Linked DNA regions of Macaca fascicularis. The protein of the gene in region 1 interacts with the protein of each later gene in a biochemical or structural test. Links are inferred from orthologs where the notes say so. Each region holds a gene or a part of one and is shown in the gene's direction. Other genes may lie near its edges. The genes, in order: NR0B2, PPARG, HNF4A, ESRRG, SMARCA2, EID1 and RARA.

Evidence for each region.
Region 2: the proteins of NR0B2 (region 1) and PPARG form a complex in vitro, tested with the Homo sapiens proteins (2 studies listed by BioGRID, with this or other methods). The link is inferred for Macaca fascicularis from reciprocal best matches to the Homo sapiens genes NR0B2 and PPARG.
Region 3: the proteins of NR0B2 (region 1) and HNF4A form a complex in vitro, tested with the Homo sapiens proteins (4 studies listed by BioGRID). The link is inferred for Macaca fascicularis from reciprocal best matches to the Homo sapiens genes NR0B2 and HNF4A.
Region 4: the proteins of NR0B2 (region 1) and ESRRG form a complex in vitro, tested with the Homo sapiens proteins (2 studies listed by BioGRID). The link is inferred for Macaca fascicularis from reciprocal best matches to the Homo sapiens genes NR0B2 and ESRRG.
Region 5: the proteins of NR0B2 (region 1) and SMARCA2 form a complex in vitro, tested with the Homo sapiens proteins (2 studies listed by BioGRID). The link is inferred for Macaca fascicularis from reciprocal best matches to the Homo sapiens genes NR0B2 and SMARCA2.
Region 6: the proteins of NR0B2 (region 1) and EID1 form a complex in vitro, tested with the Homo sapiens proteins (3 studies listed by BioGRID). The link is inferred for Macaca fascicularis from reciprocal best matches to the Homo sapiens genes NR0B2 and EID1.
Region 7: the proteins of NR0B2 (region 1) and RARA form a complex in vitro, tested with the Homo sapiens proteins (2 studies listed by BioGRID). The link is inferred for Macaca fascicularis from reciprocal best matches to the Homo sapiens genes NR0B2 and RARA.

What each region holds. Positions count from the first base shown.
Region 1 is NC_088375.1:208,192,553-208,196,785, forward strand, and holds NR0B2 (nuclear receptor subfamily 0 group B member 2), read left to right. Parts: upstream 1-1,433; 5' UTR 1,434-1,469; coding exon 1,470-2,001; intron 2,002-3,324; coding exon 3,325-3,566; 3' UTR 3,567-3,922; downstream 3,923-4,233. UniProt on the Homo sapiens protein: Transcriptional regulator that acts as a negative regulator of receptor-dependent signaling pathways. Specifically inhibits transactivation of the nuclear receptor with which it interacts.
Region 2 is NC_088376.1:150,693,837-150,697,336, forward strand, and holds part of PPARG (peroxisome proliferator-activated receptor gamma), read left to right. Parts: intron 1-2,398; coding exon 2,399-2,849; intron 2,850-3,500. UniProt on the Homo sapiens protein: Nuclear receptor that binds peroxisome proliferators such as hypolipidemic drugs and fatty acids.
Region 3 is NC_088384.1:100,504,392-100,507,891, forward strand, and holds part of HNF4A (hepatocyte nuclear factor 4-alpha), read left to right. Parts: intron 1-1,108; coding exon 1,109-1,261; intron 1,262-2,298; coding exon 2,299-2,441; 3' UTR 2,442-3,500. UniProt on the Homo sapiens protein: Transcriptional regulator which controls the expression of hepatic genes during the transition of endodermal cells to hepatic progenitor cells, facilitating the recruitment of RNA pol II to the promoters of target genes. Activates the transcription of CYP2C38.
Region 4 is NC_088375.1:74,484,874-74,488,373, reverse strand, and holds part of ESRRG (estrogen-related receptor gamma), read left to right. Parts: intron 1-819; coding exon 820-1,235; intron 1,236-3,500. UniProt on the Homo sapiens protein: Orphan receptor that acts as a transcription activator in the absence of bound ligand. Binds specifically to an estrogen response element and activates reporter genes controlled by estrogen response elements.
Region 5 is NC_088389.1:97,097,029-97,100,528, reverse strand, and holds part of SMARCA2 (probable global transcription activator SNF2L2), read left to right. Parts: intron 1-1,729; coding exon 1,730-1,856; intron 1,857-3,500. UniProt on the Homo sapiens protein: ATPase involved in transcriptional activation and repression of select genes by chromatin remodeling (alteration of DNA-nucleosome topology).
Region 6 is NC_088381.1:25,379,327-25,382,811, forward strand, and holds EID1 (EP300-interacting inhibitor of differentiation 1), read left to right. Parts: upstream 1-1,289; 5' UTR 1,290-1,336; coding exon 1,337-1,903; 3' UTR 1,904-2,985; downstream 2,986-3,485. UniProt on the Homo sapiens protein: Interacts with RB1 and EP300 and acts as a repressor of MYOD1 transactivation. Inhibits EP300 and CBP histone acetyltransferase activity.
Region 7 is NC_088390.1:61,395,291-61,399,521, forward strand, and holds the start of RARA (retinoic acid receptor alpha), read left to right. Parts: upstream 1-1,431; 5' UTR 1,432-1,538; intron 1,539-4,231. UniProt on the Homo sapiens protein: Receptor for retinoic acid. Retinoic acid receptors bind as heterodimers to their target response elements in response to their ligands, all-trans or 9-cis retinoic acid, and regulate gene expression in various biological processes.

The sequences.
Region 1 (4,233 bases):
TTAGAAGGAGGCTGCCAATATTAGAGTGGGAAGTGCCTGACACGTAACAGGTGCTCAGAGAATGGCAACCATATATATATATACACACACACACACACACACACACACACACATTTTTTTTTGAGACAGGGTCTTGCTCTGTTGCCCAGGCTGGAGTACAGTGGCATGATCTCAGCTCACTGCAACCTCTGCCTCCCAGTTTCAAGTGATTATTTTGCCTCAGCCTCTAGGGTAGCTGGGACTACAGGCACATGCCACCATGCCCGGCTAATTTTTGTATTTTTAGTAGAGACAGGATTTTGCCATGTTGGCCAGGCTGGTCTTGAACTCCTGACCTCAAATGATCCCCCTTCCTCGGCCTCCCAAAGTGCTGGGATTACAGGCATGAGCCACCATGCCCAGCTGGCAACTATCTTTTATTATAACTCTGTGAGTTCTTCTCAGCAGGACTGGACTTTCAGGAGTGGTAGGAATCAGGCAGGGAAAGGCCGGGCGCGGTGGCTCAAGCCTGTAATCCCAGCACTTTGGGAGGCCAAGACGGGCGGATCACGAGGTCAGGAGATCGAGACCATCCTGGCTAACACGGTGAAACCCCGTCTCTACTAAAAAAAAATACAAAAACTAGCCGGGCGAGGTGGCGGGCGCCTGTAGTCCCAGCTACTCGGGAGGCTGAGGCAGGAGAATGGCGTAAACCCGGGAGGTGGAGCTTGCAGTGAGCTGAGATCCGGCCACTGCACTCCAGCCTGGGCGACAGAGCAGACTCCGTCTCAAAAAAAAAAAAAAAAAAAGGAATCAGGCAGGGGATAGGGATTCTGAAGGACCTTATTCCTGCAGGGGGCCCAGAACTGAAACCAGAGGAAGGGGGCCTCCGAGACTGGACAGCGGGCAAAGTCCTCCCAGCCCCCCCAGGGTCCTGGCTCCCTTCCCTGTAGCCTGCTCCTGGCCGACAACAGAAGCAGGGCCCCAAGGTTAGGCAAACAAGCTAGTGATAAGGCACTTCCAGGTCGGGCCTTGCATTCAAGGCCCACCCAGCTCTGGGGCTGACTTCCTGGCTTAGCGAAAGCGCTAGTCTTTTGTGCACACAAGAGCAGGCACCAATGGGGACACCTGCTGATTGTGCACCTGGGGCCTTGGTGCCCTGGTACAACCTGGGTTAATGACCTTGTTTATCCACTTGAGTCATCCGATAAGGGGCAGCTGAGTGAGCGGCAGGTGGCCCTGTGCCCTGCACCGGCCACTTCATTGACTGAAGTGATATCAGTGCCACGTGGGGTTCCCAATGCCCCCTCCCCCACCACTTCCCCACCATTCCTGCCAGGGGCAGTGTCTGTGTGTTTTTTTCAATGAACATGACTTCTGGAGTCAAGGTTGTCGGGCCATTCCCCCCCTTCCACTCACTGGGAATATAAATAGCACCCACGGCGCAGAACAGAGGGCCAGAGAGCTGGAAGTAAGGGCAGATCCCAACCATGAGCACCAGCCAACCAGGGGCCTGCCCATGCCAGGGAGCTGCAAGCCGCCCAGCCATTCTCTACGCACTTCTGAGCTCCAGCCTCAGGGCTGTCCCCCGACCCCGTAGCCGCTGCCTATGTAGGCAGCACCGGCCCGTCCAGCTATGTGCACCTCATCGCACCTGCCGGGAGGCCTTGGATGTTCTGGCCAAGACAGTGGCCTTCCTCAGGAACCTGCCATCCTTCTGGCAGCTGCCTCCCCAGGACCAGCGGCGGCTGCTGCAGGGTTGCTGGGGCCCCCTCTTCCTGCTTGGGTTGGCCCAAGATGCTGTGACCTTTGAAGTGGCTGAGGCCCCGGTGCCCAGCATACTCAAGAAGATTCTACTGGAGGAGCCCAGCAGCAGTGGAGGCAGTGGCCAGCCGCCAGACAGACCCCAGCCCTCCCTGGCTGCAGTGCAGTGGCTTCAGTGCTGTCTGGAGTCCTTCTGGGGCCTGGAGCTGAGCCCCAAGGAATATGCCTGCCTGAAAGGGACCATCCTCTTCAACCCTGGTGAGCTCCCAGACACTCCTGGGTAGGGGGCAAGGCTGAAGCAGGAGCCAGCCAGGGAAGGTAACTTCTAAGGGTTTGATATCTGTAATCTCATGGGGTCCACATTTTCTTTTTTTTTTTTTTTTCTGAGACAGAGTCTCACTCTGTCACCTACTCTGGAGCGCAATGGCGCGATCTTGGCTCACTGCAACCTCTGCCTCCTGGGTTCAAGCAATTTTCCCTGCCTCAGCCTCCCAAGTAGCTGGGATTACAGGTGCCCGCCACCACTCCCGGCTAATTTTTGTATTTTTTAGTAGAGACGGGGTTTCGCCATGTTGGTCAAGCTGGTCTTGAACTCCTGATCCCTCTGGTGATCCACCCACCTTGGCCTCCCAAAGTGCTGGATTACAGGCGTGAGCCACTGTGCTTGGCCGGTTCCTCATTTTCATCAAATAGCCATCTCACAGAAGAGGTACAGAGAAGCTAAGTGACGAGCTAAAGGTAACACAGCCAGGTAGGGACAGACCAGGATGGCAACTCAGGTCTATTCACTCCAGAGACTGGCCCTTGCCACTCTGCCTGAGAAATTTGCTCTGACCTTTAGAGAAGGCTGCGGGGGAGGTGGGGTGGGCAGACACAGCTGTGTCTCAGTCACATCTTCAAAGGAAGGCTGCATGGTGAAGCTCTAGAGCTGAAACTCCTCTGTGGGTTCAGAAAGATCACTTAGAAGAGAGAACTGAAAGGGGTGTAGGGAGGACAGGAAGGGAGTCTTTGTGGAATTTGGCCAGGAGAGTGGCAGATGAGACAGTGCTCTTTGTAATCTGGAGAGCATCTGAGATGAGCGTTCCCCAGGAGTCCCTGTGGCACGCATAAATCGTAGTAGTTAATTGCAATAATAGTAGCAAATACTCATATCACACTTACCATATGTTAGGCCCTATTCTAAGGGTTTTACATATACTAGTTCATTTAAATCTCATAAAAACCTAGGAGACAGGTCCTATTAATATTATTATCCTCGTTTTACAAATAAAGAAACTGAAGCCCAGAGATTAAGTTACTTGCCCAAGGTCACCCAGCTAAGTGACAGTACTGGGATTCATACTCAGGAAACCTGATTCTTAACCATTACTCCATACTGCCTCTTCATAAATGGATGGATGAATACAATGGAAATTGATAAATAAATTACCTCCTCCAAAGGAGGAGGTAGTAGTGGGACCTCAAAGGCCGAGCAAAGGAGGCAGAGGGGTGTCTCTGATGGCCCAGATCTTGGGCCAGTCTCTTCCTTTGGTGGCTGGGAGTAGGATGCTCACCAACCCTCTTCTCCCTCTCTGCCCACAGATGTGCCAGGCCTCCAAGCCGCCTCCCACATTGGGCACCTGCAGCAGGAGGCTCACTGGGCGCTGTGTGAAGTCCTGGAGCCCTGGTGCCCAGCAGCCCAAGGCCGCCTGGCCCGTGTCCTCCTCACAGCCTCCACCCTCAAGTCCATTCCGACCAGCCTGCTTGGGGACCTCTTTTTTCGCCCTATCATTGGAGATGTTGACATCGCTGGCCTTCTTGGGGACATGCTCTTGCTGAGGTGACCAGCTGTAGCCCAGGCAGAGATCAGGTGGGCAGAGGCTGGCAGTGCTGATTCAGCCTGGCCATCACCAGAGGTGACCCAATGCTCCCGGAGGGGGCAAGGCTGTATAGACAGCACTTGGCTCCTTAGGAACAGCCCTTCACTCAGCCACACCCCACATTGGACTTCCTTGGTTTGGACACAGTGCTCCAGCTGCCTGGAAGGCTCTTGGTGGTCCCCACAGCCTCTGGGCCAAGACTCCTGTCCCTTGTTGGGATGGGAATGAAAGCTTAAGCTGCTCATTGGACCAGAAGTCCTACTGACTTTATACAGAACTGAATTAAGTTATTGATTTTTGTAATAAAAGGTATGAAACACTTGGAGCCTGATACTGTTGTTTGTGCATATAGAAGGGACTGTCTCACCTCCAGGGCCCACCCTGCTCCTATCAGAGGTAGCCCAAGGGAAAAAATCCACAGGGTTGCTGGAACTAATTTTCCAGGGAACAGTATCAGTTCACAATCCCATCACCTCATTGCCTTTATCCTCAGGGGAAGGAGGTTGCTCTCCTGTTCCCAAACCCTTCACTAACCACTCTCCTGGCTCCTACCCACTTCATGCGCCCTCTCACCACAGTTAAAGCCCAATCACAGCCAATCAGGAAGCAGTCCATTCCCGAATTGAAACAG
Region 2 (3,500 bases), on another chromosome or scaffold:
TCTCATGACATTAAAGAAAGCCAATAAAGGCTAGTTGTGGTGGCTCACACCTGTAACCCTAGCACGCATTTAGGGAGGCCAAAGCAGGACGATTGCTTGAGCCCAGGAGTTCAAGACCAGCCCGGGCAACATAGCAAGACCTCATCTCAAAAAATGAAATAATTTTTTTTTAGAAAAAGAAAGTCAGTATTTCATTAATATATATTATAATACACTATAAAATGCCTGTAGAACAAAGAAACACGTTTTCTCTAGGTTCTGTGACAGCATCATTATCCATTCAAATTTTTCTCATAATTAGAACCTGACATTCTGGAAAAATACAGTAAATTTTCATTGATGTTACTTGCTCTGCCCCCCTTTTATTTCTCCCATTAATAATATTAATCCTGAAAAGAAGAAAAGAAAAAGGAAAAAAACCACCCAAGCGAAATGTTTAAGAAATACGGTACGGACAGTTTGGTCCCTTGAAAAATTAGAGCCACCAGGTAAACCTGTTCTGGGGTCCTCACATCTGTCCCCTTTTGGAGTTTGGTAAGTAGTACAGTTGAAGTGAATTTTTTTGTAACAAAAGTAAAAACTTCCAGAATAACTCCAGTAAAGGGTGTTGACGTGACGTACAAGTTTGGAAATATATTTAACATCTGAGAGTCCTTAATGTTGGTGTTACTTCCTCCAGTATAGAACAAACTTAATCTTTTGATGAAAATCATAGAGTTCCATAGATATGAATAGAATCTCCAACCGGTGCATCTTGAAGCCAGCTGCCACGGCCACTCATGCACCTTCTCTGTGCCCATTCAGGAGAGAATTCTCAACATCTCTGCTCAAAACAGTGTTTACTTTTAGTCTATCAGAGACTTCATGTTTGTTGTGCATGCACACTCACAGCTCTCCACACACATGCCCACTCCCCACACACATCCTGCTTCTGAGAAATACAACTAGAATTTCCTCTGGAGAAGAGGTGGAAACCCCTGATTGAGAAATTTAAGGCCTAGGAAAGGTAAATGACTTTTCTTAAGTCGCATAGTTCACCACAGAACCAAAGCTAGAATGCAGATACCCTCAGCTCTTCTTCCAGTGCTTTCAGGTATACAAGTATTTGAACAGGATTCAAGGTTTAACTCCTTATGTGTCTTTCAGTGTATCCGGTGTAAGTAAAATGTTGCCCCTTAGAGCAGCCTTGAGAATTTCTCAATGACTACAGACTTTGGTTAGTTCTATACAAGGGAAGTGAGAGAGAGATAATGTCATGACCAAATGACTTAACTTTTGAAAGCAGCCTATTGCAAACTTAAATAACTGGGGCATGTATTTTATTGATTGACCTGTAAGGACAGATATTTTAAAATGTAAATTCAAAACTGTTTTTTGCAGCATTCACCTATAGGCCTTCTATATCTGCTCTTTGTGAAATAGATGGCTTCCAGAGCATTAAAAAAAGAAATAGACATTTTCTTGGTTCAATAGCTCTAATCTGCTTTCAGAGTGATTTTTTAATAGTTAAGCATATTTTATGTGCACATAGTTTCATTTGCGATCTGAGAGGATTTCATCTAAAACTGAAAAGTTATTACTCGTGAAGGAGAACAAAGGAAAAGGAAAAAAAAAGTTTAAGAAAAAAAAATTGTTTTAAGCCTCTAAAGTTGCTTTATGTTCAAGTGGGTATTTTCAACCCTGAGTTGCTGAAATGATTTTTTATTGAAAGAAGGTTAAAAGTGTATTTCATTGAAAGCCAAGATAAACAGTAGATTTTGTATCATTTTAAAAATCAACAATTGGCTGGGCATGGTGACTCACGCCTGGAATCCCAGCACTTTGGGAGGCCAAGGCGGGCAGATCACTTGAGGCCAGGAGTTCAAGACCAGCCTGGCCAACATGGTAAAAACCTGTCTCTACTAAAAATACAAAAACCAGCCGAGCGTGAAAGTGTGTGCCTGTAATCCCAGCTACCCAGGAGGCTGAGGCATGAGAATTGTTTAAACCTGGGAGGTGGAGGTTGCGGTGAACCCTGATTGTGCCACTGTAATTCAGGCTGGGCAGCAGAGCAAGACTCTGTCTCAAAAACAAACAAAATAAATAAATAAATATAAAAATCAACAGTGAAGACTCCCCAAACAAAAGAAATTGGGATTCTTAGCCAGTCATAGGTAAAGTGTTACAGTGTAAATTAAAGGGAAAGAAGACCAAAATTGGTGAAATTTGTTTGGTCCCAGAAGATAATTAAGATGAATAAAAGAACTTGAGAGTATTTTCTCATTATTAAGCATCTTCAGCTTTAAAGATTTTAGTTAGCAAAGCAAGTTTACATAAAGAAACAGTTTTCTGAACTGGGATGGCATTCACTAAGTTAGAAATCTCCAAGTCACCCATGTTTTCCCTGTTTTATTTGCAGCCATTCGTTATCTATGACATGAATTCCTTAATGATGGGAGAAGATAAAATCAAGTTCAAACACATCACCCCGCTGCAGGAGCAGAGCAAAGAGGTGGCCATCCGCATCTTTCAGGGCTGCCAGTTTCGCTCCGTGGAGGCTGTGCAGGAGATCACAGAGTATGCCAAAAGCATTCCTGGTTTCGTAAATCTTGACTTGAACGACCAAGTAACTCTCCTCAAATATGGAGTCCATGAGATCATTTATACAATGCTGGCCTCCTTGATGAATAAAGATGGGGTTCTCATATCCGAGGGCCAAGGCTTCATGACAAGGGAATTTCTAAAAAGCCTGCGAAAGCCTTTTGGTGACTTTATGGAGCCCAAGTTTGAGTTTGCTGTGAAGTTCAATGCACTGGAATTAGATGACAGCGACTTGGCAATATTTATTGCTGTCATTATTCTCAGTGGAGGTAAGATTTGTCTTTTGATCCTCTATGAAAGAGGGTGGGATGATGGTGGGATGGCCAAAAGAATTTTGGATTTCCTTATTAGTCTGCGTTCTTTGTCGCTTTAAGTGCCAATGGCATAATGCCATGAATCACCTCTACACGTGCAAAACACTGTACCAAGAAAGAGTATCATAAGTTTGCAGTATGAAAGTTATGAGTAACCCAGGATCTTCTCTTTCTTCCCTCAACAATATAGTTTTTCCAATCAAATGCCCTCTTCTTTTTCTTTTCTTTCTCTCTTTCTTTCCTTTCCAGAAAGGAAGATTAGAGGCCAATCTAATCTTTGGTTCCTGTAAGTAATGGCATGTATAACTTTGCTTAAGACAATGCTTACTTGACGTAGAGAAGGAACTACTAAGTGTTTCTGGTCAAATCATGCTCCTGCCCTTCCAACAGTAAGATACTACTTTGAATTGCTTTCGTGATATCAGGAATTAAGGCATACCTACTGACCTCCACCCACTCTCTTGTGTGGATTCCTCTGATGGCTTCCCTTCAAAATACCTTTGTGAGGTAGTTGGTTGTGATTAAGAATGCAATCTGAACCGAACACACAACATAGAAATAAATTTAGTTATTTAGCAATTTGTTGTATTTTTGGCCCTGCAAGTA
Region 3 (3,500 bases), on another chromosome or scaffold:
TGATAGCTTATTTCATTCTCACTTTGACCCTGTGAACATGGGGTTACTATGAATCAGGTGTCACTGAGATTAGGATCAGGAGCCTGTGGTCTGTTGCCAAATAGTTAAGAGCTCTGGGCTTAGTTGTCTCATCTGTAGAATGGGGTAATAATAGTATCCATTCTATAGGATTGTTGTAAGGATTAAATTATGTAAAACATGAAAAGTGCTATACAACAGTACCTGGCACATGGTAATTGTTAATTATCAACAGTCGTTATTTATCACTGAGATCGATGTGCTGTAGAGATCTCTTACAAGCATTGAAATTCCATCATTGTCATATTACTCACCATAGGCTATTATTAAACCATACCCCATGTGGTATTTTTACTCCCTGACACATGTTTAAAGCGGTTACTGTGTTCCAGACAATCTGCTAGGCTCTCAAAGAAAGAAGAAAAATACATCTGAAATTGTAATGCTCATAGACAGAAGAAGTAGTTGTTCCTAAAAGTTGTGTTACAGATAAATTACTATGAGAAATCCAAGGAATGAGAACGAGGAGAATCAGGAGAGGCTTCTAAAGAGAGGAAATATATGAGCTGGGATTTGGGCTTATGGACGTGGAGCGGGTTTGGGGTGGAAAAAACATCTCTGACGGAAGCAACAACGTGAGCAGAAGCATAGAGATAGGAAAACACAGGGGACACATAGATGCTATAAGTAGGTCAGTTGGCTGCAGCAGAGATGTGGGGGATGAGGCTGGAAGGTGAGGCGGGACCAAATGGTTGAAGGACTTGCACGCCAAGGAGCCTTGAGAGCCATTGATTACATCCAATACGCTACTCATTAGAACATTTACTTGATCTCAGAGCTTCCTTATAGGCACCTTGTTTCTTTCAACTCACTTTTGTTCTCTTGGTTTTTTGGGGCCTTCTTAACACCCTCATGAAGCCTACGAATGGGAATGGTACACCCTAGTTTACTAACCCAGGAATAGGTCCCCAACAGGCATTGCCAATATTGGATGGGCAGGTTGATTGGTCACACCTGAGGAAGATGGCGTCCCAAGGCCTGAGGTCTGCATCCCAGACTCTTCATCTTGATCGATCTTCTCTTCCTGCAGGGTCCTCCAGCGATGCACCCCATGCCCACCACCCCCTGCACCCTCACCTGATGCAGGAACACATGGGAACCAATGTCATCGTTGCCAACACAATGCCCACTCACCTCAGCAATGGACAGATGTGTGAGTGGCCCCGACCCAGGGGGCAGGCAGGTGGGCAACCTCTGGGGCTCTACCTTGCAAAGGGTGAGGATGGGGCTTAAGAGAGGAAGCAGGAGAAGGTGGAGTCTAGAAGGTAGAACCAGGATGCAACAATTTTCTGGGTTCCAGGGTAGGGAATAAAGGGCAAGGTTGTCCATTTGTTGAGGCTGTTTATTCAGTAAGGTGACTGACAACCTTTACTGAATGAAGCCATTGTTGGGATGAGGCAATCCACTGGATGAAGTAACCTATTGGGTGAAGATGTTCTTGGGTGAGAATCCCATTAGTTGACATTGTCCGTTAGGTAAAAGTGATCATTGACATAAGGCTGCTCAATTGGGTAAGGCTATCCATTAAACAATTAGATGAGACTATCCATTGGGTCAGGATGTCTGCTGGACTAGACCATCCTCTGAAACCTCCAAAGTGTAAACTTGTCATTGGGCAAGGCTCTTCAAAGAATAAGATTATCAATGGGATGAAGTGATCCACTGAGATGAGATGATATTTTACTGACGTTGTTCTTGGAGAAAGTTGTCCATTGAACAAAGATTGCCAATTGGGTCAAATTTGCTCTCCAAACCTGCCATGAGAGTGAGGCCAGTTTCTATTACTCATGTCCTAAATATCCAAGAAATGGTATTTTTTGAGCCAGTTGGCCCTGGGTCTCATCAGCTGCTGGCTCCTTCTCCCAGGAAAGAATATCCCTGTCACCCATCCCATTGCCGTTGGTGACAGCCAGGCCTGGGCCTTGGTTTCAGAGAAGCAGTTCAAGTCTGCATATCAAATAAATGATGGAGGAGATGGGTGGTGGGACCTTCCAGACCTCATAAAACTTAGGCTTTATGATCTGGGACTCACAGAAGGTTGAGTCATAAAAGACCTTGGGGATTATCTGGTTTAATTAATTCTCTCATTTTATAGAGGAAGAAATTAAGTCAAGGCGGGGCGGGCTGGGGGTTGGGGGGAGAATTTTCCCAGGGCTCTTCATTTACTCCCACAAAGGCTGGAATTTTGAGCAGCTCCTATCTGTCTGTTTGTCCTTCCAGCCACCCCTGAGACCCCACAGCCCTCACCGCCAGGTGGCTCAGGGTCTGAGCCCTACAAGCTCCTGCCAGGAGCCGTCGCCACAATCGTCAAGCCCCTCTCTGCCATCCCCCAGCCGACCATCACCAAGCAGGAAGTTATCTAGCAAGCCGCTGGGGCTTGGGGGCTCCGCTGGCTCCCCCCAGCCCCCTCAGAGAACGCCTGGTGATCACGTGGTCACGGCAAAGGAAGACGTGACGCCAGGACCAGTCCCAGAGCAGGAATGGGAAGGATAAAGGGCCCGAGAACATGGCCTAAGGGCCACATCCCACTGCCACCCTTGACACTCTGCTCTGGATAACGAGACTTTCACTTGGGAAGACGCCACTGGAAAGTCCTCTACTGCCTTGGACAACTTTTCTCATGTTGAAGCCACTGCCTTCACCTTCACCTTCATCCATTCGCTCCTCCTTCTGCTGCTGCCCCCACCTCAAACGCCCGTTTCCCTCTGCTGTCGCCTTGCTCAGCCATCCCGTCTTCTCCAGCACCACCTCTCCAGAGGCCAAGGAGGCCTTGAAAACGATTCCCCCAGTCATTCTGGGAGCATGTTGTAAGCACTGACTGGGGCCAGGCAGGATCTAGAAGGCTGTGGTGAGGGAAGACACCTTTCTCCTCCAGCCCCACCGCACCCTCCTTCTTCAGGGACTTGGGTGGGTATTTGGGGTGAGGATCTCTGCAGACCTTCAACCCGAGAAAACAAGCCCAGGTTGGCAACTGCAACAGGAACTTGGAGTGGAGAGGAAAAGCATCAGAAGGAGGCAGACCATCCACTAGGCCTTTGAGAAAGGGTAGACTTCTGGCTGGTAGAGCGGGTGAGATGGGACATTCCAAAGAACAGCCTGAGCCAAGGCCTCGTGGTAGGAAGAATCTAGCAAGAATTGAGGAAGAATGGTGTGGGAAAGGGATGATGAAGAGAGAGAAGGCCTGCTGGAGAGCATAGGGTCTGGAATACCAGGCTGAGGCCCTGATCAGCGGCAAGGGGTATGCAGGGAGCTGGGCTTCCAGAAAATGAACACAGCAGTTCTGTAGAGGATGGGAGGCTGGGAGCTGGGAGGTCAGGTGGGGTGGATGATGTAATGCGGGTGAGAGTAATGAGGCTTGGGGCTGGAGAGGACAAGATGGGTAAACTCTCACATCAGAGTGACATCCAGGAGGAATGATCTCC
Region 4 (3,500 bases), about 130 Mb from region 1:
GCATATGTGAATGTGCATGAACACATGCACGCATTTATTAATGAATGCTAGTGATCAGTCACTAAGTTTTGCAGGCTCTAGGAAATAATCTTTAAATATTGGCTTTAATTTTATACTTGATGTCTTTCTATATTGCCAAATGGCTATGAAATAGAGCAATTTAAATAAAGAAACAAAGTGATTGAGGATATATTCCCTATGTGTTTTAGTCAGATCAATAAAAGACACAGTTATGCTTATGGAAGCGTGCTGACAAACAGTAATTACAGAGCTGAGAATCATCTGTTCAGCCTTGAAAATAAAAGTTTTATTCCGCTCATAATAAAATGATTGCAGCATCAGAATGAGGAAGGAAAGGTAGAGTGAGGATAAATACAATTTTAGAAATGGTATAGACTTTGCAAATCACCACCTCTTCCATTGATAAATTTAGAATCTAGAGTTGATTTAGATATTGACACTGGTTCTCCAAGAGAAAGGTAAAATGAAAGCAATTGGACCCTTTAGAGCTTTTGTTTATGGCCTGTCTGGGCCCCTTGTTGTAACCCTGTCATGCCCTTATGCTGATTACCTTCTTGTAGAACAAGAAGTATTGACTAGAGAATGAATGATGTGTAGTCCCTAGCCCTTAGGAAACACTCTCAAAGAGCAATGTCTTTAACATATGAATTTTTTAAACATATGAATGTTTTTTTTCCTCCTTTTACCTTTCCCTTTCCCTTTCTCTATTTTTTCACCATCTCTTTTGTTTCTACCTCTTTTGGTGTCTGTGTTTGACACTCTCTCCTCTTTCTCTCTCTGTATCTCCCTCAATCTCAGGCTTCTCTGCAGAATGTCAAACAAAGATCGACACATTGATTCCAGCTGTTCGTCCTTCATCAAGACGGAACCTTCCAGCCCGGCCTCCCTGACGGACAGCGTCAACCACCACAGCCCTGGTGGCTCATCAGACGCCAGTGGGAGCTACAGTTCAACCATGAATGGCCATCAGAACGGACTTGACTCGCCACCTCTCTACCCTTCTGCTCCTATCCTGGGAGGTAGTGGTCCTGTCAGGAAACTGTATGATGACTGCTCCAGCACTATCGTTGAAGATCCCCAGACCAAGTGTGAATACATGCTCAACTCGATGCCCAAGAGACTGTGTTTAGTGTGTGGTGACATCGCTTCTGGGTACCACTATGGGGTAGCGTCATGTGAAGCCTGCAAGGCGTTCTTCAAGAGGACAATTCAAGGTTAGTGTCGGACCTGGGAATACTCTCCCCACTTCCAACCTCACGTGATGAGTTTTTGTTTTTCCTTATTCTTATTCTCATAAGTCAAGTACCATAGTTTTAATTCTCTCTCGAGTAGAAAATAGAAATAGATTACAATTGATAGTGGAAGATTTATAGACTAAAATCCCCCCAGATATACTCCATATCTATTAATTTTCCTCTTACTCTTAAGCTTTAATGATGCAAGGATAATAAACTTTGGGTAGAGTTTATAAGCGCATAGTTATTATTAGAGCAATGTGGGTCTATAGAGCAACTGTACAAATGCACATTGGACTAACAGTGTTTTTGACCCCTTTGGATCTTCTTACAGATGCATGGAAATAAATACTTTAGACCAGTGATTTTCAAACTTGAGTGTGCATTAAAATCATCTGAAAATCGTGTTAAAATGTAGATTCCTGGGTCCTACCTCCAGAGTTTCTGATTCATTAGATCTGGAGTGGGGACCTGCCTGAGATTGTATATTTTAAATAAATTTTCAGGTAATGTTGATGATACTGCCAGTCCAGGGACCAATTTTAAGAATCACTGCTCTAGACCAATTTAATTACCTACTCATCTTTATTTTTTCCTTGTGGTTGGCTATACTTATTCTAACTTTTAAATGAATTTATGTAAAAAATTTCCAAATTATGTCAACAAAATGTCATCGAATGATAGAACGTACCTCCAACATATATAAGTGATATATACCCCAAACTTCATAGATTTCAGATTTATAAATAACATTATTTCCCCCATATAGTGTAGAAAAATAGGACTGAAATTTGTTTATGCCCTTTTAAACTGGTGATCTACAGATCTAGAATTCAGTTCATTAAAAAGCTATAGATATATATATATATATTCTGGCAAAAAAAATTCACGTTTTTAGGTCTCTTGTGATTCACTTTTGAAGAAAATAGGGGAAGGAAAAACATATATTTTGAGGATCCACAGCTCACCAATGGTTCTGTTCAGTGGTTTATGAAATGTGTCTTCCTAACAACCAGTTATGGACACGAAGTCTATCTTCCCACATATCAGTGGTTCTCAAACTTGCCAGCTCATTGGAATCAGTGGAAGACTTAAAAAAACATGCTGATGCCAGGGCTCATGTCCCCAAATTCTGAATTAATTGGTCTTGGGTACAGCCAGGGAAAGGGGGATTTTTGAAAGCTTCCTAGGTGATGGTTAATGTAAAGGCAAAGTTAAGAACCACTGCACTGTACTGTGTTGTATTATTTGACAGCAGTTCTCAAAGCACAGTGGCTGTACCAGCAGTACCAGCATCATCTGAGAAAATGTAAGAAATGCAAGTTCCCAGGCCCCATCCTGTATTAACTCAAACAGAATCTCTGGGTGTGGGTCTAGCAATCTGCATTTTACCAACCCTCTGTGTAATCCTGATGTAATTCAAATTTAGAACCACTGCTCTAGACCATGCTACTGCTGATTTACCACTGACCATAGACCATCATCATCTAATGGCCCCTTGTTGGGCAGAACTGAAACCAATTTATTTGGAGCCTTCATAATTTTGTGATGTACTAGTTTTCAAAGCACAAAAGAAGTAATGTTTGTTAAGTGCTAATCCTTTTAAATATTTCCACAAAACATGATTCTGAAAACGCTTATGTGTACATAGAGCAGTCTCCCACCTTCCCCTTTTTTTTTCTTTTTTGTTTTTGAGGCGGATTTTTACTCTTGTGGCCTAGGCTAGAGTGCAATGGCATGATCTTGACTCACTGCAACCTCCATCTCCTGGGTTCAAGTGATTCTCTTGCCTCAGCTTCCCAAGTAGCTGGGATTACAGACAGGCACCAACACGGCCCACTAATTTTGTATTTTTAGTCGAGACAAGGTTTCATCTCATTGGTCAGACTGGTCTCGAACTCCTGACCTCACGTGATCCACCTGCCTCAGCCTCCCAAAGTGCTGGGATTACAGACATGAGCCACTGCGCCCGGCCCACCTTCCCTTTTAAGAGCATCTGGAAATCCAACTCTTCTCCATCAGTTGCACTGAGCATTTTAGTGACAATCCCTAGTGGAATTGGTTGTACTGTCTCTCCCTTGCTTTTTTGTTGTCTGTTACATAACTTCCTTGATCTGTGGCTGATGAGAACACAATCAAAATGTTTACTTAGTCAGGTACAGTGGCTTATGCCTGTAATCCCACCACTTTGGGAGGCTGAGGCTGGAGGATCCCTAAGGCCAAAAGTTTAAAAGATTAATCTGG
Region 5 (3,500 bases), on another chromosome or scaffold:
GAAGTTAGAAAGAAAAAAAGTCTGTCCTCTCAGCTCTGTAGTCTGGCAACACCATCATGTTTGGAAAACACTGTAATATTCATTTTTTAAGATAATTTCGACTTTTATTTGAGATTCAGGGGATGCATGAATAGGTTTCTTAACATGGGTGTATTGCATAATGCTGAGGTTTGGGGTGCAATGGATCCCATCATTCAGCTAATGAGCATAGTACCTAAAAGTTTTTCAACCCTTGCTGCCCTCCCTCCCTCCCCCGTTTAGTAGTCGCCAGTGTGTATTGTTGCCATCTTTATGTCCATGAATACCCAATGTTTAGCTGCCACTTAAAAGTGAGAACATGCGGTATTTGGTTTTCTGTTCCTGCATTAATTTGCTTAGGATAATGGCCTCCAGCTGCATCCATGTTGCTGCAAAGGACATGATTTGGTTGTTTTTTTTTTTTTAATGGCTGTGCATAATTTTAAACAGAATTCTTAATTTTCAACTTTTATAGTTGAGGTCCAGGAAGGTTCTCAGAAAGTATATTTTAATTATCTACCGTTTCATTGCAGTGGTTTTGGTATCAGGCAAATTGAGGTTCCAGTCTTGGCCCCCTTCTTTACTAGCTCTGTGGTATCTCCAGGTGTCTTCAGTTTTCCTCATCAGTAACATGGGACCATTATAACATTTACCTTATAGAGAGAGGCGTGTCTGTGTGTGTAAGAGAGAGACAATTAAATAAAATTATGCATTAAAGGCACTTAGTTCTGTTAATATTAACCTAGTTTAACTTATTACTCATTTTATCATTATTCTTTCTTTGTTGAAATCTAGTTCAGTACAGTTTGCCTCAAATTTAGGGGATGTAGTTCTAAAAACAGGCTTAAATGGCATATAATTATTTGTCAGAATAGGATTCAGGTGAACTCTAAAACCAGCAGTTTATATATCTAACAGTAATAGTATCCCAAGTGAATGGCTAAAGTGAGAGGTCTTTTATTTTCTACTCTGCCTTTATTATGCGGAAGTACATGCAGTTATATTTTTGATGGTGTGTAAAACGAGAATCCTCAACATCCTTTTCTAGAAACTCTTGGTTTTTGAGTACTATTTACTGCTGGCCCTGATTTTTTAAAAACAGCCTCATTTGTATTTTCTTTTCTCAAGCAAGCTCTGCTCACGGAGGAAGTGGCTGTGGCTGGCAGAGCGCTTTCTGAATGTTTAGGGTTGGCTGATTTCTGTGGCATCAGCACCTAAAACCGTTCTTGCTCTCTCCGCTTTAATGGCTGTTCGTCATCGGCATCTTGGCAAAGAAGACAAATGGTCCGGTTGCCTTAGGACAGAACTAGAAGTTAGAAAAAAGTGTGTCCTCTCAGCTCTGCATTCTGTCTGGCTGGGAGTTAGGAAGCGAGTCAATTGTTTCTGTCTCTCATTTCTCTCTCTGCTAAGAGCGAGCAAGGACATTTGACTTCCCCACTAGATACAGGGTGAACCCTCTTTCCCTGGTGTTAGATAGGGGTTATGGAGGAAGCCACATTGTTAAGTTAACATATACCTGTCTGCATTAATACAAAGGTAGCTTTTCTCTGCTTAACATCAAAAATTCTAGTTGGGTGTCAGAAATCAACTATCAGTATCTGGAATATGTTTTGCCCTGAACTTAAACCTGATGTCATTGTTTATCATGTAACATTAAATTGTAATGTGTTTTTCCACTGCCCCCTTTTCCCCGTTTTATTGTTTCCTTCAGACTTCAGGCCCGCATAGCTCATAGGATACAAGAACTGGAAAATCTGCCTGGCTCTTTGCCACCAGATTTACGAACCAAAGCAACCGTGGAACTAAAAGCACTTCGGTTACTCAATTTCCAGCGTCAGGTAATACCTTTTCCCCAGTGAATCTGAGATGTAGGAAATAAATGTAATTGTTCCTAAAGTGTTATCTGTGTTGCCTTTAGTCTATTCGATATTGTTATAAAGATATAAAGAGAGAAACATAGTAAAATAGTGAATCTTTTAGACCAACAGCTTACAACTAAAAATAATGAAGATGAACTGCTTATTATTCTGGTTTTCTCTTCTGTATATGGGAAAGAGTTTTTCCTCCTGTACTATGGTTTACAAAGTCAAGAGTTATGGCATTTTGTTACCATGGATGAAAAACCTTGGGAACAAGTGGGGTAGCTCATGTTTGCCTTTATGACTCCAAGGAAAAACCAGAAGGTAGTAGAGTGGAGCTTCTTCGTAAGCACAGATGTTAAGTGCTAGCCACGACTGTGAAAAGAATTTTAACAAATATGATAGCCACTCTACTGAATTAGTTCATCATTTATAGAAATACATAAAACAGTGTCTTACAGCTTATTTATTCACCAATATCTGAGTTTGGAGTGTTTAATCACATCAGGCTCATACAGTGACTAATCTGTAAATTATCTTGTCATTACACTAGTTATTAAAAGCCAGTATAATGACCTATTTTCTGATTTCTAAATTAGTAAGAGACTAGTGGAATGAATTAGAGCTACTTTTCACTTTGGTGAGTTTTGCCTTGTGGACTCAGAATGTTCAAGTTTGCTAGTCCACAGATTGCCTCACTAAGCCAAAGGGGAGAAGGAGCCTTTCATTGTTAGTCAGATGGGTTTGTTTTGTTAAAGCCTGGAACATGCAAAATGAATGATTAATGAGTAAAAGTAGTTTGGAAGTATTGACTTGGTCTGTTGGAGGATGCGAGTAAAATCACAGGCCACTCCTCTTGCTATTGTAGGAATTTGGGTGTATATTTGCCTTACTGGCTATAATATCACAGATGGACATTAGTGGTGAGTAGGTGCTACTTGGCCCTTGGTTTGTGAGAGTAGATTTCAGCTTAAATTTTAAAAAGAAGAGGGAAAATTCTCTGAGTTCTGTTTACTTCTTTCTTATTGGTGACCTCACAAGATGAATTAATAAAGTGCTGGATAAAATCTCACTAAATGAATATTAACCAAGTATGTTTTCAGGAATAAGTTTATGTTCAAATTAGCATTGCTGTGCTGGATTCTTATTGGTTTCTGATTTTTGTTTGATATTATTTTAAAAATCTGTTATTTATGAAGCTTCCCAATTAAATTAACTGTAACTAATGATGATTTCAGATTCAGTGGAATGATTATTTAATGTGTATTCTCCAGTCCCTACCCCCTACCACCACATAGCATGCAATACAGATAAAAGTATTACATTTGTGATGATCTAAAATAAGTTCATGATATAATACAAAATGTAGCTCTCTTGGAAAGAATATTATTATTGGAGTGGGAAGAAGCCAAAACTCTTATTTCCCATCCTTTGTATGAGACTATGAATTAACGTTGGTGGAGTACCTGCTGCTACCATACGTGAAAGTAATTCTTTTATTCTTTTTTTGGAGCATCATTAAAATTAATCTTTAAACACAAAGAGAATGTTAACATGACATTTAAAACAAAGTGAAAAATTTAAAAAGCTTATTAGCTAATTAGTATCATTAGAATAATTAGA
Region 6 (3,485 bases), on another chromosome or scaffold:
CAAGGATAAATAATTGTATCCTTCAATCCAATCAAGTTGACACTCAGTATTAACCATCACACTTCCCATCCACAAAAGACAGAATGGATCTGTGACCCATTTGTGAATAAGCCAGGTGAATCCACTTTGTCCATGCTAGAAGAGGATCAACTGCTTGATATTGCAAATGGCGGTGGCCTTAAAAGTATGTTTGAGACAACTTCAAATCTCCATACGTTCTCGATTAAAGTCAAGGCGGAATATCCTGAGATTGCCACAAAAGTACTGAAAAGTCTCCTTTCATTTTCAACATCCTATCTTTGTGAGGCAGGATTTTCCACAGTAACAGCAACCAAAATGAGATTACAGAATCCACTGGACATAAGGAACACACCTTGGGTGTCACTGTGTCTCATCACCGTCTAGTTGCAGGACCGTCTAGTTGCAGGAAAACAAGCTCAGGGCTCCCACTGATTCTACATTATGGTGAGTTGTATAATTCTACGTAACTACAATGTTATAATAATAGAAATAAAGTGCAGAATAAATGAAACGTGCTTGAATCCTTAAGTATACACAGTCATATAATTCACAGAAGTATATACAACTTAAAAGCAGACGCTTTTAAGTTGAAGACAGGTAAAACATGTTTTTAAAAAACACACAAAATAGTATTTTGCTATGAATACATAAAGATACATGTAAATGCAAATAAAAAGAATTTAAAGAGTACACGCCGCGTTGGTAATAGTGGAAAAATACCTACCCGGAGAAAAGAAATGGGACCAAGTATTTCTTCGCTATAACTAAAAAAAAAAAAAAAAAAAAAAGGACAATATATATGTCGTTTGTGAATTTAACTTTTTAAATGACAACACTAAAAGGACAGAATGGATTAGTTCTTAATATGCTGATCTGTGGTTATGGATGTTGTCTGGTTTGGAAACGTGGATTTAGAAGTCATCAGCACATAGATAAATTGCCCTGGGGAGGAGGAAGAAGGGAGGGGAGGCACATTAATGTTAGGAGGGCCATGTAAAGTTATTTTCCAGTTTGCTGCATCACAAGCAACAGTAGGGTTAAGTAACACAGAAACTGTTACGCTCTTGCCTACAGGGTCCCTAGATACCAAGTTCGAATCGACGGAAACTTAGCTCAAAAAGCGACGCCCACATCCCGGGAAAAACATTGAGCTACTCCAACCACAGTGGCGCGCCAAGCAGGAGGCGGTACCTGAGGACCACGCCTGCGCGCGGGGTTACGCAAGCGCGCAGCTTTTGCGCACGCGCACAAACGCACGGCCGCGCAGCATCTATCTTGCTGGAAGCTTTTTCCGAGAGGTTGAGCGGTTTGCATAATGTCGGAAATGGCCGAGTTGTCCGAGCTATATGAAGAGAGCAGTGACCTGCAAATGGATGTGATGCCTGGCGAGGGTGACCTACCGCAGATGGAGGTAGGCAGCGGGAGCCGGGAGCTATCCCTGCGTCCCTCCCGCAACGGGGCCCCGCCACAGCTCGAGGAGGAAGGCCCAATGGAGGAGGAGGAGGCCCAGCCAATGGCGGCGCCAGAGGGGAAACGGAGCCTTGCTAACGGGCCCAACGCTGGGGAGCAGCCAGGCCAGGTGGCGGGCGCAGACTTCGAGAGCGAGGACGAGGGCGAGGAATTTGATGACTGGGAGGACGACTACGACTATCCCGAAGAGGAGCAGCTTAGTGGTGCCGGCTACAGAGTATCAGCTGCTCTTGAAGAAGCCGACAAGATGTTTCTGAGAACAAGAGAAGCAGCCCTGGATGGCGGGTTTCAGATGCATTATGAGAAGACCCCGTTTGATCAGTTAGCTTTTATCGAAGAGCTTTTTTCACTGATGGTTGTCAATCGTCTGACCGAAGAACTCGGCTGTGATGAGATTATTGATAGAGAGTAGTTACATGCTGTTAAAAGAGGAGGAAACTACTTGAGGAGGGACCCAACTTTCCGCTATCTTTTGGGTTCATTCCAAATAGTTTTGTGCCATTGAAAAACTTGACCTTCAAAAAAATTTGTTTTTCAGAATAGAAGACAATAGGACAGTGACTGCACAGTTGTGAAAAAGGAGAATCATTAAAGAAAAAGGAAAAAAGATTTTAAGACCGTTGAAATCTGTTATCAAGAATGTGCTAAAACACCTATGGCTTTGACTTTGTTATTGATCCAGATTATTTTCCTTGCATTGGGGAAAATATCTTTCATATTTGTTTGCTGTAAAGATGGTTTTGCAAGAATAAGTCATGACCAAGACAAACTGCCAATACAAGAGCCCACTGATATTAATTATATAATGAGAAAAAATGTATCCAACTAGGACACATATCTTTTGAGTTATTTGGACTGAAAGTTTAAGAAAACTTGGGAAATTCTATTTTGTGATCTAGTCAAGCCGTAGTTATCAAAGGCTAAATTTTCAGTGTAAGACAAATGAAGTATTCTTCATTATTCCAAAAGGATGAGTAAACTCAAAGATGTATCACGTGTGCTCTGTATCTTAAGATGTGTTTCCAAGAGCGTCTGAAATTTTGTTTGTACATGTATCTTGATCATTTATAAAGCCACTGTGATATATAAATCAAGAAAATTCATTGTCATAACCATTTTTAAAAGTCAAAAATTAAGACATCTTTAATTAAAAACTTTCAAATCTAGACACTAAATGTGTGTGAATGTACAAAGAAACCATTGCTCACGCTGTTATATACTAGAGAAATTTTGTTTTGCTTGCTGTTTTAACTTGACAGGTGAAATACTTTAGTTGAACTTCATATTGTAAGAACTGTTAATAAAAAGTTGTCAAGTAAAAAGCCCTATATCTAAAAAGACTTTATGAACAGTTATTCTATCAACTTTTAAAGGTTTTAAACCTACCCAGAAATTACCTTGGTATCTGAAGTTTCCCTCTGTCTCCTCCTCTAATTAAGCTTGTTATTTGTTATGCACCAGCATTGGAGATAATAAAATTTCTTGTTCTGTGTATTTTGTTTGGCTAATAATATTGTATACATACTTTATACTAGTTTTTATTGTATGTGTTAACCAGTATTAAGGGAAAATAATCCAGCTTCAGCTATCTAATTCACAAATTAATTTCTGGAAATTAAACTTTGTAAATTAAGTTTTTGCCCTACAAGAATTTGCTGGTCTAGGAAAACCTGCCCTATCAATGAGTATGTTGCCATGGTTACCTTACTAAGATGCTGAGGTTCTAGGAGAGTAATGATTACATCAGAAGGCTATGTTCAGCAAAATGAGTATATCAGCAGGTTTTATCATGATCAGTAAAAAGGTTCCAGATGCTTCTGCTCCATTATAGCAGTAAAGAACAAATATCCAATGCAACAGGACAATTCAGAGCATTATTTATTTTATGGTCATCCTGCCTTTTGGGGAGAGAGAGATCTGTAAAAGATAGGACTGTGACAAGGATGATCAGAATTGTTCAGACACTAGCTGGGTTGGGAGGGAGAGATGGTGGA
Region 7 (4,231 bases), on another chromosome or scaffold:
TTATCCTTAGTCTGTAAGAGAGTAGTCTGTTTTCTTCTTCCCCTACTTCTCTCCTCCCCAAATAACACTCAGCTCTTATTGAACTTTATAACTGTAGTGGTGGCCCAGCTGAGATCTGAGGATCTCCAAACCCTTTTGTAAACACTCATTAACTGCCTGGGAAGAACGAAGAGCCCTGTTTAACAGCTGGGAGAGAACTGAGGCACATTAGGGTGAAAGGCTTGACCTAAACTCACCCCATGGACTCCACCCTGGGGCCTTCCATCCTTAGTCCAGCTCCTTTACTCAGTTCTTCCTGCAAGACAGAAAGAGGTGGAGGCATTGCTGGTGTCTTCTCCCCTTCTAGGCAAAGGCCATGCCCTCTCCCCTCAAGTCTGTCCCTGACTTCCTCTGGCCCTTCCCCTGATGACATTTTCCCTGCTCTGCTGCTAGAGATATGTGCAACTCTCCTTGCAAAATGTTCTCAATCCACAACTTCAGAATTCTTATCCACCTTTCTCTTGCCCATGTAGCCCACCAAACCTGAATTCTCCCTTTTGAGCTACTGAGAAGACTGGCTATACTAAACCGAATCACTGACCTTGAAGTTGATCTGTTGTATTGAAGTCCCTCTGCCCCTAGATTTATCCTAAATGGTATCTAGGAAAATATTCTCTCTTTAACTTGTTTATTCTGGTCATAAAGATTCGGGACATTACTAAGGGCTGGGTAGGGGCACTAGTTGACCTCTAGATTCTGCATCCTGTTCTTCCACTGCCAGTCACCATTTCCAGTAATAGATGTAACCCAAAGTCCTTTTTTGTTTTTTTCTCCTTCCCTAACCCCACCTGTTTATACTCTTGCCTATATATGTACATTTGCAGACCCCACACATTCCCAGGTACACATACATTGGTCCTACCTTTTCCCCCCTGTTTCCAGCTGCCATCTAAGTGAGCCTGCACTTTTTACATGCTGAAAATCTGTTTTCTTTTCCCCCTGGATGGCATCCTAGGCACTTGGGAATAACTGGGAGGGATGAAGGGACTCCTGCAGTCCATGAGGAAGAGGACAAAAGTGAGCGCCCAACCAAACGAATGCTCCCTTCCCAAAACCTCTAGCCGAATGCCTTAGCAGGAGTGGCAGGGAAAGAGATCTTAACCCCACCTCCAGCACCAAAACCTAAATCCATCTGTTCAGGGCAGGCAGGAAGAAATGTCTACTTTCTCCTGTTTCATGCCATCCTATCCTCAAGTTGTCCATATGCTGTGTATTTGAGACAGGGAACTGTTCCTGTCCCCAGCCGACGACCAGACGCCCATCTTTCTTCCAGTGGGTTATTTCTTCCCAATCAGTCCTCCGCTCTGCGCCGGCTGACCCAGTGGAAGAGGGCGGGGAGAGCCTTCTGCTTGACGAGTGGGCTTTAGGACCCAACGGGAACCCGTGCCTCTTGCAGCAGCCTAACCCAGAAGCAGGGGGGAATCCTGAATCGAGCTGAGAGGGCTTCCCCGGTTCTCCTGGGAACCCCATCGCCCCCCTGCCAGCACACACCTGAGCAGGTAGGACCATGCACACCCCTTCCCAATTCTTCTTTGGCCGCCTTTGACCCTGGCCTCTGCTTCTGATCTAGCCGTTTCCCTCTCGCCAGTTCTGGCTTTCCCCATCCCTCCTCTCCCGTCGCTCACTGTAGTCCTGGGAGGTGGGAGCCTGGGAACAGTGGGGTGTCTGAAAGCTCAGAGCCCCCTGCACCCTCCTCCTGAGGCAGTTCCCGGTCTCTAGCTAAGAGTGGGGAGTAGGGGGAAGGTCTGCCCAGGCCCCACGCCCTTGCACCCTCCTTTGCAGTATTGCCTAATACCCCTTCCCCCACCTCACCTAGACTGGAGAATTGGCAAGTGCTGGGGTAACAGAGGAGAGAGCCAGAGAGAGACCTGAGCTTTCCCCGAGGGATTTCTTTCTTGCTTCCTCGCCCAAAGAACTCAGGACTTTGCCCCCACTCCCTACTCACCTTGTAGGGGAACTAATGTCCCCTTCCAGGTTCATCTCACACTTGGGTGGCTAAAGGCTTTGCTGGAGGGTAGTGGAGGTTGTGAGCATTTTGGTGACCTTTTCCTCTAGGAAAGTTCTTTCAGCTTAGAGCCCCCATCGCTGTCAACATCTCAACACCTGCTGCAGAAGCCCCCACCCCACCCGTGTGTGTGTGTGTGTGTGTGTGTGTGTGTGTGTGTGTGTGTGTAGAGACAATGTGGTTGTAAGAGCTAGAAGCTTTGGATAGAGGTGGCTGCATGCATTGAAGGGGAGGGATACCAGAGTGTGGCCCAGGCCAGAACAGGCTCAGTCCAGATGGCTAGGGAAGGGAGTGTAGACCAGATTGAGGAGGTCACCCAGCCTTGCCAGCTTCCTGAGCTCCTTGGCTTTCAGAATCCCAGGCTCCTGGTGTTTCTCTAGAGCTACGAGGTCCCCAAGCTTCTGCCCCACTACAGGCTCTCTGGGAGAGGGCTAGATGGCACCTACTGTTTACAGTGGCTTATTTTTCTCTCCTGTGGTGGGCAGACAGGCCCTGCTCTCTGAAGATCTAGGGCATGTCATTCTGGTTTGGTGGGTTTACAGGAAGGGTGTACATCTTGTATGAGTTACCATGTGTGAGTGTGTATCTTGCTTCTGGGGGTAGTAGACTGGGGAGGGGGTGATAGAAGAGACTGGTCACACTGAGGGAACTCCTCTAGCTCTCAGTGTGTGGTAGGAGTGGGTGGCATGTCCCCATCTGGTAGCTCTGTCTAGGTGTGGGGTGTGCTCTGCATTCTTCCATGACTCCCTGGGTCCCCTAAAGGTTGGTTTTGGAGGACACGGTGGATAATGGAGTGGCTTCAGACTTCCCTCTGGTCTTGATCCAAGAAGGAAAGTAGAGATTCTGACTGCGAGCAGTGGACTGGGAATCAGAGGACTGAACTGGAGACTTAGCCTGGTTACTTAACTATGTGTGTTTATATATGTCTTCCCCTTTGCTAAGCCTCAGTTTCTTCATTTGTAAAAATGGCTATCAGTAGCAAGCAGGGACATTGCCACCAAGACCATACAGAGAATGTATCATAAAGCTCACTGCAAACGGTAGTAATGGCTGGGGGGATCTAGGATGGAATCCTCTTCCTAAATCTAGGTCAATCTCTCTGCCTTCAGTTTTCTTCCCCCATCCTTTGCCCATCTGGGGGATGGAGGAACCAGGCAGGGCTATTGCCCTGGGTACTGCAGAATTCCCCTAATGCAGGTTGTAGCTGTTGCCAGAGCACCTGTGGTCACAGAGTACAGATCTCTCCACCAGGCATTTCTTCCTCTGGGGCCCCATACTTGCTCCCCTGAGCCATGTCTCCACCTTCCTTCTGCCATCCCTGCTTGGCGTCCTTGTCTCTCTCTCCCCTGCCCAGTGGCCTCCTTGTCCGGCTCACTGGGCAGGAGCCCTAATCGGATTCGACAGCTGAGATATGTGTGGCGGCTAAGAGCAGGCGGGAGGGAAGCCAGTGGGAGGATGGTATGAGGACTGCCCCTGGCACTGCCCCGGCCTCCCGAGCACCACCTTGGGCCTGCTGATTTCTTACTTGGCTTGGCCCCAAGGAAGGGGTGCCAGAGGAAGCTCAGGAATGAACAGGCTGAGGTCTGGAGACTAGGAGAGGAGGAAACACACCAAGGTCCTGAGGACCTGGTTGATATTTGATGACCTTAATGTCAGTGTCTCTGACTCTGACAAGGAGGAAAGGACAGCGATGAGCCAGGCTGACCCCCGCCACCCCATTCCCATAGCCCCACTTTCTTCTCTCTTCTTGTTCAGAAATGTGTTCACTTTGCCTCCTCTAGACCCTTTGGCCAGTACCTCCTTGTGGGTCACATCTGGGAGCTTCTGGGGTGCCACATGTCTGCCTCAATCTGGGCTGTTTCCTCCCCTCCAAGGTATTTCACTCTCTCTGGGCTGGGCGCCAGGACTCCTGGGTTTCCCACCCGCCTGTGGTGCAGGGCTCCCCTGCAGGGCTCCAGAGAGTCGCTTAGCTGGTTTCCTTCCTTCTGTGTGGGGAGGGCCTTCCCCTAGGGCTGGGAGGTGTCAGAAATCCCAGGTGGGACAGGGGTGGGGGCACAGTAGCCTCTGGCACTGTAGCACCCCAGCTTCTCCCTCCTAGCCTCTGACTCAGCTTGAGGGCAGCACATGCCCAGCCTGGCAGGCATGGCCCATTCTTGCCTCCAGGCTTCTGTCTTTACAGAAGCCTAC